Linked DNA regions of Sus scrofa. The protein of the gene in region 2 interacts with the protein of the main gene of each other region in a biochemical or structural test. Links are inferred from orthologs where the notes say so. Each region holds a gene or a part of one and is shown on either strand. Other genes may lie near its edges.

Region 1 (3,810 bases), on a different chromosome or scaffold from region 2:
TCTGTGACCTACACCACAGCTCACAGCAATACTGGATCCTTAACCCACTGAGTGAGGCCAGGGATTGAACCTACAACCTCATGGTTCCTAGTAATTCGTTAACTACTGAGCCACAACAGGAACTCCTGGAGTGCACTACTTTTGGCAAAGGTTCTTTTTTTTTTTTTTTCTTGGTCTTTTTGTCTTTTTAGGGCTGCATCCATGGCATTATAGAGGTTCCCCAGCCAGGGGTCCAATTGGAGCTGTAGCCGCCAGCCACAGTCACAGCCATAGCAACTCGGGATCTGAGCCGCATCTGCAACCTACACCACAGCTCACGACAACCCCAGATCATTAACCCACTGAGTGAGGCCAGGGATCGAACCCAAGTCCTTATGGATGCTAATTGGGTTCATTAACTGCTGAGCCACGATAGGAACTCCCAAAGGTTCTTCTGACAACTGCTTAAGTTCAACTGCTTAAGTTCAACAGTCAGGTGACAACTGCTTAAGTTCAAGTTCAACAAAATGTCCATAAGGAACAATGCCTATAAGGACGTGGTCAGCCTCAGGAGTATTTGAAGGGCTTCCACAGCACAGTAACATAAAGACAGCTAAGCATGGGGTTCCCTGGTGGCTCAGTGGGTTAAGGATCTGGTATTGTCACTGCTGTGGTTTGGGTTCAATCCCTGGCCAGGAATTTATGCACATTGTGTGTGTGTGTGTTTTTTTTTTTTTTTTAAAGGGTCAAAATATATGAATCCCTAGCAGTGGCTTTACGAATCTAAGCAGAATCAGGTTTTTAAATTAATTAAAAAAAATTTTTAGGCGTTCCCATTGTGGCTCAGCAGCTAACAAACCCAACTAGTATCCATGAGGATGGCGGTTTGATCCCTGGCCTTGCTCAGTGGGTTAAGGATCCGGCATTGCCCTGAGCTGTGGTGTAGGCTGGAAGCTGTACCTCCGATTGGACCCCTAGCTTGGGGACTGCCATATGTGTGGCCCTAAAAGGACAAAAAAAATTTTTTTTAGGGCCACAACTGTGATACATGGAGGTTCCCAGGCTAGGGGCTGAATTGGAGCTACAGCTGTTGGCCTATGCCACAGTCACAGCAATGCTGGATCCAAGCAGAATCTGCAGACTACACAGCAGCTCACGGCAACACCGGATCCTTAACCCATTAAGTGAGGCCAAGGATCGAACCGCCATCCTCATGGATACTAGCTGGGTTTGTTACCACTGAGCCACAACAGAAACTCTAGAATCAGGTTTTTTTCAAAAAAGGTAGTCTTCAGTTCTATGCTTCCTAAAGCCTCTGCCTTTAGTTCTATGCTTGACTGAAGCCTGTGCCTTGAGCTCCATGGGTTACCCCAGGATCCAGCAGCTGGGACAGGCAAGAGGCTGTGCCGGGGTGAAAAGCCTGACAAGCAGGGCCATGTGGCAAGGGTCCCTGACAAAGATGGGTGTGCCAGGAGGGAGAGGAATTGTGCCCAGGGTAGTGGTATGGCCTCGCTAGCAGAGACTGTGGACAGCTGTCCCGGGGTCCCTGAGGTCCACACAGCCCTCCTTTGGGCCACTGTGTGCTGGCCAGTGCTGCAGGTTTGAGGACTCCCTGCACACCCCCAGTGGGCTCTACTTAGCCTTCTTCCTGCCTCCCTCCCCCAATTCCTGAATTCCACTCCCTGATATTTCCCCATCAGGCATCAATGACACCCTTTCCTGGTGGGGAAATTTTGTTTAGGGGTTGGTGGACTCGCTAGCGTCCCATGTTGGAGTGGCCAGATCCGCAGACATCCCTTCCACCTGGGCTCTAGGGCAGAGTCCAGGGAACTGAAGCAAGCAGGCAGATGAGAGGTGGGGATGGAAACAAGTGGACAGAAGAGAGGTAGAGACGGAGACAAGCAGACAGAGGAGAGGTGGAGACAAAGACAAGTGGACAGGCTCCAGAGATCAGGGGGGAGTGGTCATGACTCTTGGATTTGCTGAGAGGGGAGACAGAGGCAGACGCCAGTGGGCTGGGCACACGCTGCCCCGGGCAGGTGAACCTTGAACGTGGTGGTGCCCCGTCTTACCCAGATTGCTGTCGATTTTCTGATGATAGGCTTGGAGGTGAGGGTTCTTTGGATACGCCTCAGAGCTCACAGCAGATCCAGCCCCTCCAGGGATGCAGTCTGGATTCACAAGAAGACACCAGGAGATGGGTTAACTGACATCCCTTGAAATGCTGCTTTACAAAATCTTAGTCTGGGAAACAGGTGGAAGGACTATAATGGTCAGTTCTAAGGCCAGAGCGATGGCTGTGGGAGTGGGTTGGGGGAGGGGAAGGAGCCCTGGCAGGCTTGTGGGGAAGGGAGAGATGCTTCCTGGGGGCCTACCCTTCGGAGATCAAAGACCTCCAACCTCTGGAGGGCCTGGTCAGCCCCTGGTGCACAGGAAAAGAGACAGATTGACACATGTAATGACATAGCAGTGGTGTTGCATCAGGCAAAACCTCACGGCTCAGGAAAGAGGAATGTCAGATGATGCACATTTGCCCCAAGAATCCTCCTGACCTTCAGCTCCTGAGTTCACACAAGAAAGCCCTGTCAGGCCAGTTCACATCTTCTGGGGAATATCTCTTTCTAGATTTGCTGTATTTCCCCCCCAGCACGATTTACACAAGCCTGTTTTTTTTGTTTTGTTTTGTTTTGTTTTGTTTTTTTGCTTCACCAATTCTCTTAAGCTAATACACACCCTACAAATGAAACTCCTTTTAGTTCCTTAAAATTGTCTTTCGGTGCAGGGCTCTACTCCACTCCCTTGGGCACAACGAGCTGGCTGTGTTATGCACTTTAGTTCTCTCACTTCCTCTGTGGCTTTGGCCTTTCCAGATAGCTCTGTCTCTCTCCAATGCCTCCTCCACCAGGCCTCCCCTCGGCTGTGTCAATCACATGGCAGGGGGCACCTGGCTATTTGTGATGGGCCTGGCTCTCTAGGGGTCCAAAGAAGCCCCCAGGATGCCTCCACTCCTTTCCAGATAATGGCTGGTTCTGGGCTTGTCATTTGATACTGACAGGATGACCTGACACAAAACAGATTCTACCCTGCACTCCCATCTGCCCGGGCTTGAGGGCCACCACAGCAAACCCCCATAGACCACCTTCAGTTCTGGAGGCCAGAGCTGCAACCTGGGGCTCACTGGGCTGGCCTCTGGCTAGAGATTCTCAGGGAGAATCTGCCCCCACCTCCTATGGCTCCTGGAGGCCACGCCTCAGCCAGGGGCCCTGCCTTCACCTTCCAATCTCCCTCTTTACTGCCTCCTTCGCACGTGCAGGGCAGCCTTGCGGTTTTACTGGGTCCACCTGGAAAACCCAGGATCATCTTTTCACCTCAAGTTGGGCAACTGTGCTCCCTTTGTACCCACAACCCCCTTTGCTACATGACCTGATGTTCCCAGGGCCTGGGGCTGGGGTATGGATGTTTTAGGGGCTATGACTCCACTTACCACAGGGGTTTCCCTGCAAGCAGCCTTTCACACTCAGCTCAGAGCTGCAGTGCAGGCTCCCACTTCCTCCTCTCCGCCTCCCTCACCCAGCAGGTGCTCCCTCCACCCAACCCAAGTGTTAGGTAGGAAAGCAAGCCCACTGACCTGAGTCATTCAGCCTCCTGAGGTTTGGGTGGCTGGCCTGGAACCGTGCCTCCTGGTCTTTGCTTATACTTATGGCTTCTTTCAATCTTTGGATAAGAGTCAAGAAAAGAAAGAAATCTTTTAGAAGGGAACACCACCTCTGCCAGCATAGTCTTTTCCTGGGGTGCCTGTGTGAGAAAATCAAATGCCTCCTCCAGAAAAAA
Region 2 (3,203 bases):
CCAGTCGCTGCCCCGGAACGCCGCCCTCAGGAAGCTCAACGACCTGATCAAGCGGGCGCGCCTGGCCAAGGTAGACCCCGGGGGGAGCGCTGGGCTGGGATGCCCAAGGCCCAGCCCTGCAGACCCCTGGCCATGCGGGGCCCTGCCTTGCCTCAGCCTGTGTGCCCCTGACTGCAAGCCTCTTCCCACCTGAGATTCTTGTTGGCACACATAAACCTCAAACAAGAAGGTACCGCTGTCCCAAGGGGCAGCCTGGAAAGTGGAGAGTGGGCGGGGGTGTCCCTCGAGGCCCTGTGAGCTCCCCGGGGTCTGCTGAGCACGGACGTGCCCTCAGCAAGCATAGGGCAGGGCGCTGGGCATGCGGTGGGGCAGGTCCCCCCCCCTCCTGGCCCTCCTCAGCTATCCGGGGGAAAGCAGAGCACAGAAAGAAAAAGAAAGCACAGCTGGGAATTCCTGTTGGGGCTCAGTGGGTTAAGAACCAGACTAGCATCCATAAGGACACAGGTTCAATCCCTGGCCTCACTTAGTGGGTTAAGGATCCGGTGTTGCTGTGAGCCGTGGTGTAGGTCACAGATGCCGCTCGGATCCTGCATTGCTATGGCTGTGGTGTAGGCTGGCAGCTGTAGCTCCGATTTGACCACTAGCCTGGGAACCTCCATATGCTGCGGGTGCGGCCCTAAAAAACAAAACAAAAAAAAAAAAAAAAGAGGAAGGAAAAGAAAAAGAAGAAAGCAGGACTTTATTTGCCTTATTTGTACTGTCTCCGGGTAGGCGTGGGTGGGATGCTGCAGAAGCCGGTGACTGGGGAGCTGTCCTGGGGGGTGGGTCGGACTGGGGGCCTGGGCGTGAGATGATGCTGAAGCCAGGACAGGAGGTAGTTGGTAGCAAGGTGGGACGCAAGCCTGCAGCACAGAGGACACTGGGTGACCTCCACCCCAGAGGCATTGTAAACCGTCCCTGCTCCTCCGTGGAGGCACAGGGCCTGCTGGCACCTGCTGACAGCATCAGAGTTGCTCAAGGGGTCGGAATCTCAGTGCCTGACCACGCTTTTTCAGTGGGACCCCGGGGAGGCTGGGAAAGGAAGATTAATGCCACGGGGGACCCATCTGACACCCGGACAGGACCTGTCCCCTGAGGACGTGTGGTTTTGAATAGTGCTGCATCCTAAACCTCTTGGGGCAGGCTCTGTCCCGGGAGAGCCGGGAGGAGCCCCATGGGCCACACTCCTGCCCCCAGGGAGCTAGCTGCCTGCCTGTGTGTAGCCCAGAGGTTGGGGACTCTGCCATAGTCCAAACAACGGTGGCCCAGGGCACCCCATGCCATCTTGAGGCCCAGGTCAAGTAGCTCTGGGTACTCCCTGGCCTGAGTAAAGAAAAGTGGCCCCAGAGTTCCCTTCGTGGCTTAGCAGTTAACGAACCTGCCTGGGATCCATAAGAATGCGGATCAAATCCCTGGCTTCAGTCAGTGGGTTAAGGATCCAGTGTTGCCGTGAGCTGTGGTGTAGGTCGAGGATGCGGTTCGGATCCGCGTTGCTGTGGCTGTGGTGTAGGCTGGCGGCTGTAGCTCCAGTTCAACCCCTGGCCTGGAAACCTCCATATGCCGCAGATTCAGCCCTAAAATAGCACCCCCCCCAAAAAAAAGAGAAGTGACCCGCATCCTTTATCCCAGTCTGTGTCCCCACCCCACTTCCCCAGAGTGCTCTTGGACCAGCAGATTGGAACTTGCTGGAAGAGTAGGTTCCCAGGCCCCCGCCCTACCAAACCAGACTCTGCATTCGGACACGGTCCCCTGGTGACCCGTATGCACGGTGAAGGTGCAGAATCCCACTCTGGAGGATGCAGGGCTGCACATTTCTCTAGATACCTCACTTCTGGAACTTTCCTGGTGAGTGGAGCTAGTTCTGAAAAAAGGAAGCCATGCGAAAATCCCCATCACCCGCTCCTGGCCGCGAAGGAGCTGAAACGGGAGGGGCGGTGAATGGAGGAGAGAGTGGGTCTCCCGGCCCGGCCTCTGCTCAGCTGCAGGGAAGGCAGCTCCCCGCCCACCCCGCCCAGCCCCTCTCCTGACAGGGCCTCCCGTGCTCTCGCTCAGCTTCCTTCCAGGACAGAATGAGGGGCAGACTTCGGGCCCCTGCTCCTTCCTCTCAGAGCTGGCGTGTCCGCGCCGGGCCCCCGGGCACACTGAGTCACGGTGCCTGGAAAGCCCCGTCCTCTCCAGTCCTGTCCTGCACCTGCTGTTTCGAGACTGTTTCCACTTCCTGGAGTGAGTCGCTCTCTCTGCTGGCCTGTGACGGGCAGAGCTATGCCTGTGTCTTTGGGACAGGATAGTGCTCGGCCAGGCTCCCAGCCCAGGCAGGTGGGGTCAGGCCGGTGGAGGGGCTTTGATGGGGCAGAGCGGCAGCTCTCCACGGCTGGACGGTGCTTGGCAAGGCGGAGGGCTTTGAGGGCCAGGCCTCGCAGGGTTGCCAGCGTTCCCGGTGCGCTGTGAGGACGGGAAGGCTGCGCCGCCCCGACTTGGCCAATGTCTGAGCAAGGTACTGAGTTTAGATAAAGCCGGAAACATCTGGGAGAAGCCTTGCGGGATTTTCCAGTCCTTAGTCACCCCTGAGCCTGTCAGGATGATAAAGCAGGGCGTCACACAGGCCGGGCTGGAGTCCCCAAACCATCCACAGGCCCGTAGAAGCAGCGCGGCGCGGCTCCGCTTGGCTTGCGGGGAGCGTGGCAGGTGCGCACGGAGAAACGGCAAGAACGTGGGCTCTGGGCTGCTGTTAGCAGTCCCGGGTTCTGGTCCCAGCTTTCTGGGGCAGCCCGGGTGCAGGCCACGCTCCCAGCAAGGTGTCCGGGAGGCGCCTGACGCACACCCCGTCCCTGTTGCCCCAGGTCCACGCCTACATCATCAGCTCCCTCAAGAAGGAGATGCCCAATGTCTTTGGCAAAGAGAGCAAGAAGAAAGAGCTGGTCAACAACCTGGGCGAGATCTACCAGAAGATCGAGCGCGAGCATCAGATCTCCCCCGGCGACTTCCCCAGCCTCCGCAAGATGCAGGTGGGCTGTCCCCCACACCCTGAGGCGGCCTCAGGTCACCGGGGCTGTGGTTCCCGAGGGAACCCGGCTCCATGGGGCGGGGCCTCCCCAAATGGAAACAGCCTGGTTAATCACCAGCGCCCCACCCGATGGGAGAAGCCGACCTCCCCCCGCCCCCCC

Evidence for each region.
Region 1: the proteins of EHD1 (region 2) and SNAP29 form a complex in vitro, tested with the Homo sapiens proteins (2 studies listed by BioGRID). The link is inferred for Sus scrofa from reciprocal best matches to the Homo sapiens genes EHD1 and SNAP29.

The regions. Positions count from the first base shown.
Region 1 is NC_010456.5:50,502,080-50,505,889, reverse strand, and holds part of SNAP29 (synaptosomal-associated protein 29), read right to left. Parts: intron 3,694-3,810; coding exon 3,608-3,693; intron 2,151-3,607; coding exon 2,052-2,150; intron 1-2,051. UniProt on the Homo sapiens protein: SNAREs, soluble N-ethylmaleimide-sensitive factor-attachment protein receptors, are essential proteins for fusion of cellular membranes.
Region 2 is NC_010444.4:7,316,038-7,319,240, forward strand, and holds part of EHD1 (EH domain-containing protein 1), read left to right. Parts: coding exon 1-70; intron 71-2,879; coding exon 2,880-3,044; intron 3,045-3,203. UniProt on the Homo sapiens protein: ATP- and membrane-binding protein that controls membrane reorganization/tubulation upon ATP hydrolysis. In vitro causes vesiculation of endocytic membranes. Acts in early endocytic membrane fusion and membrane trafficking of recycling endosomes.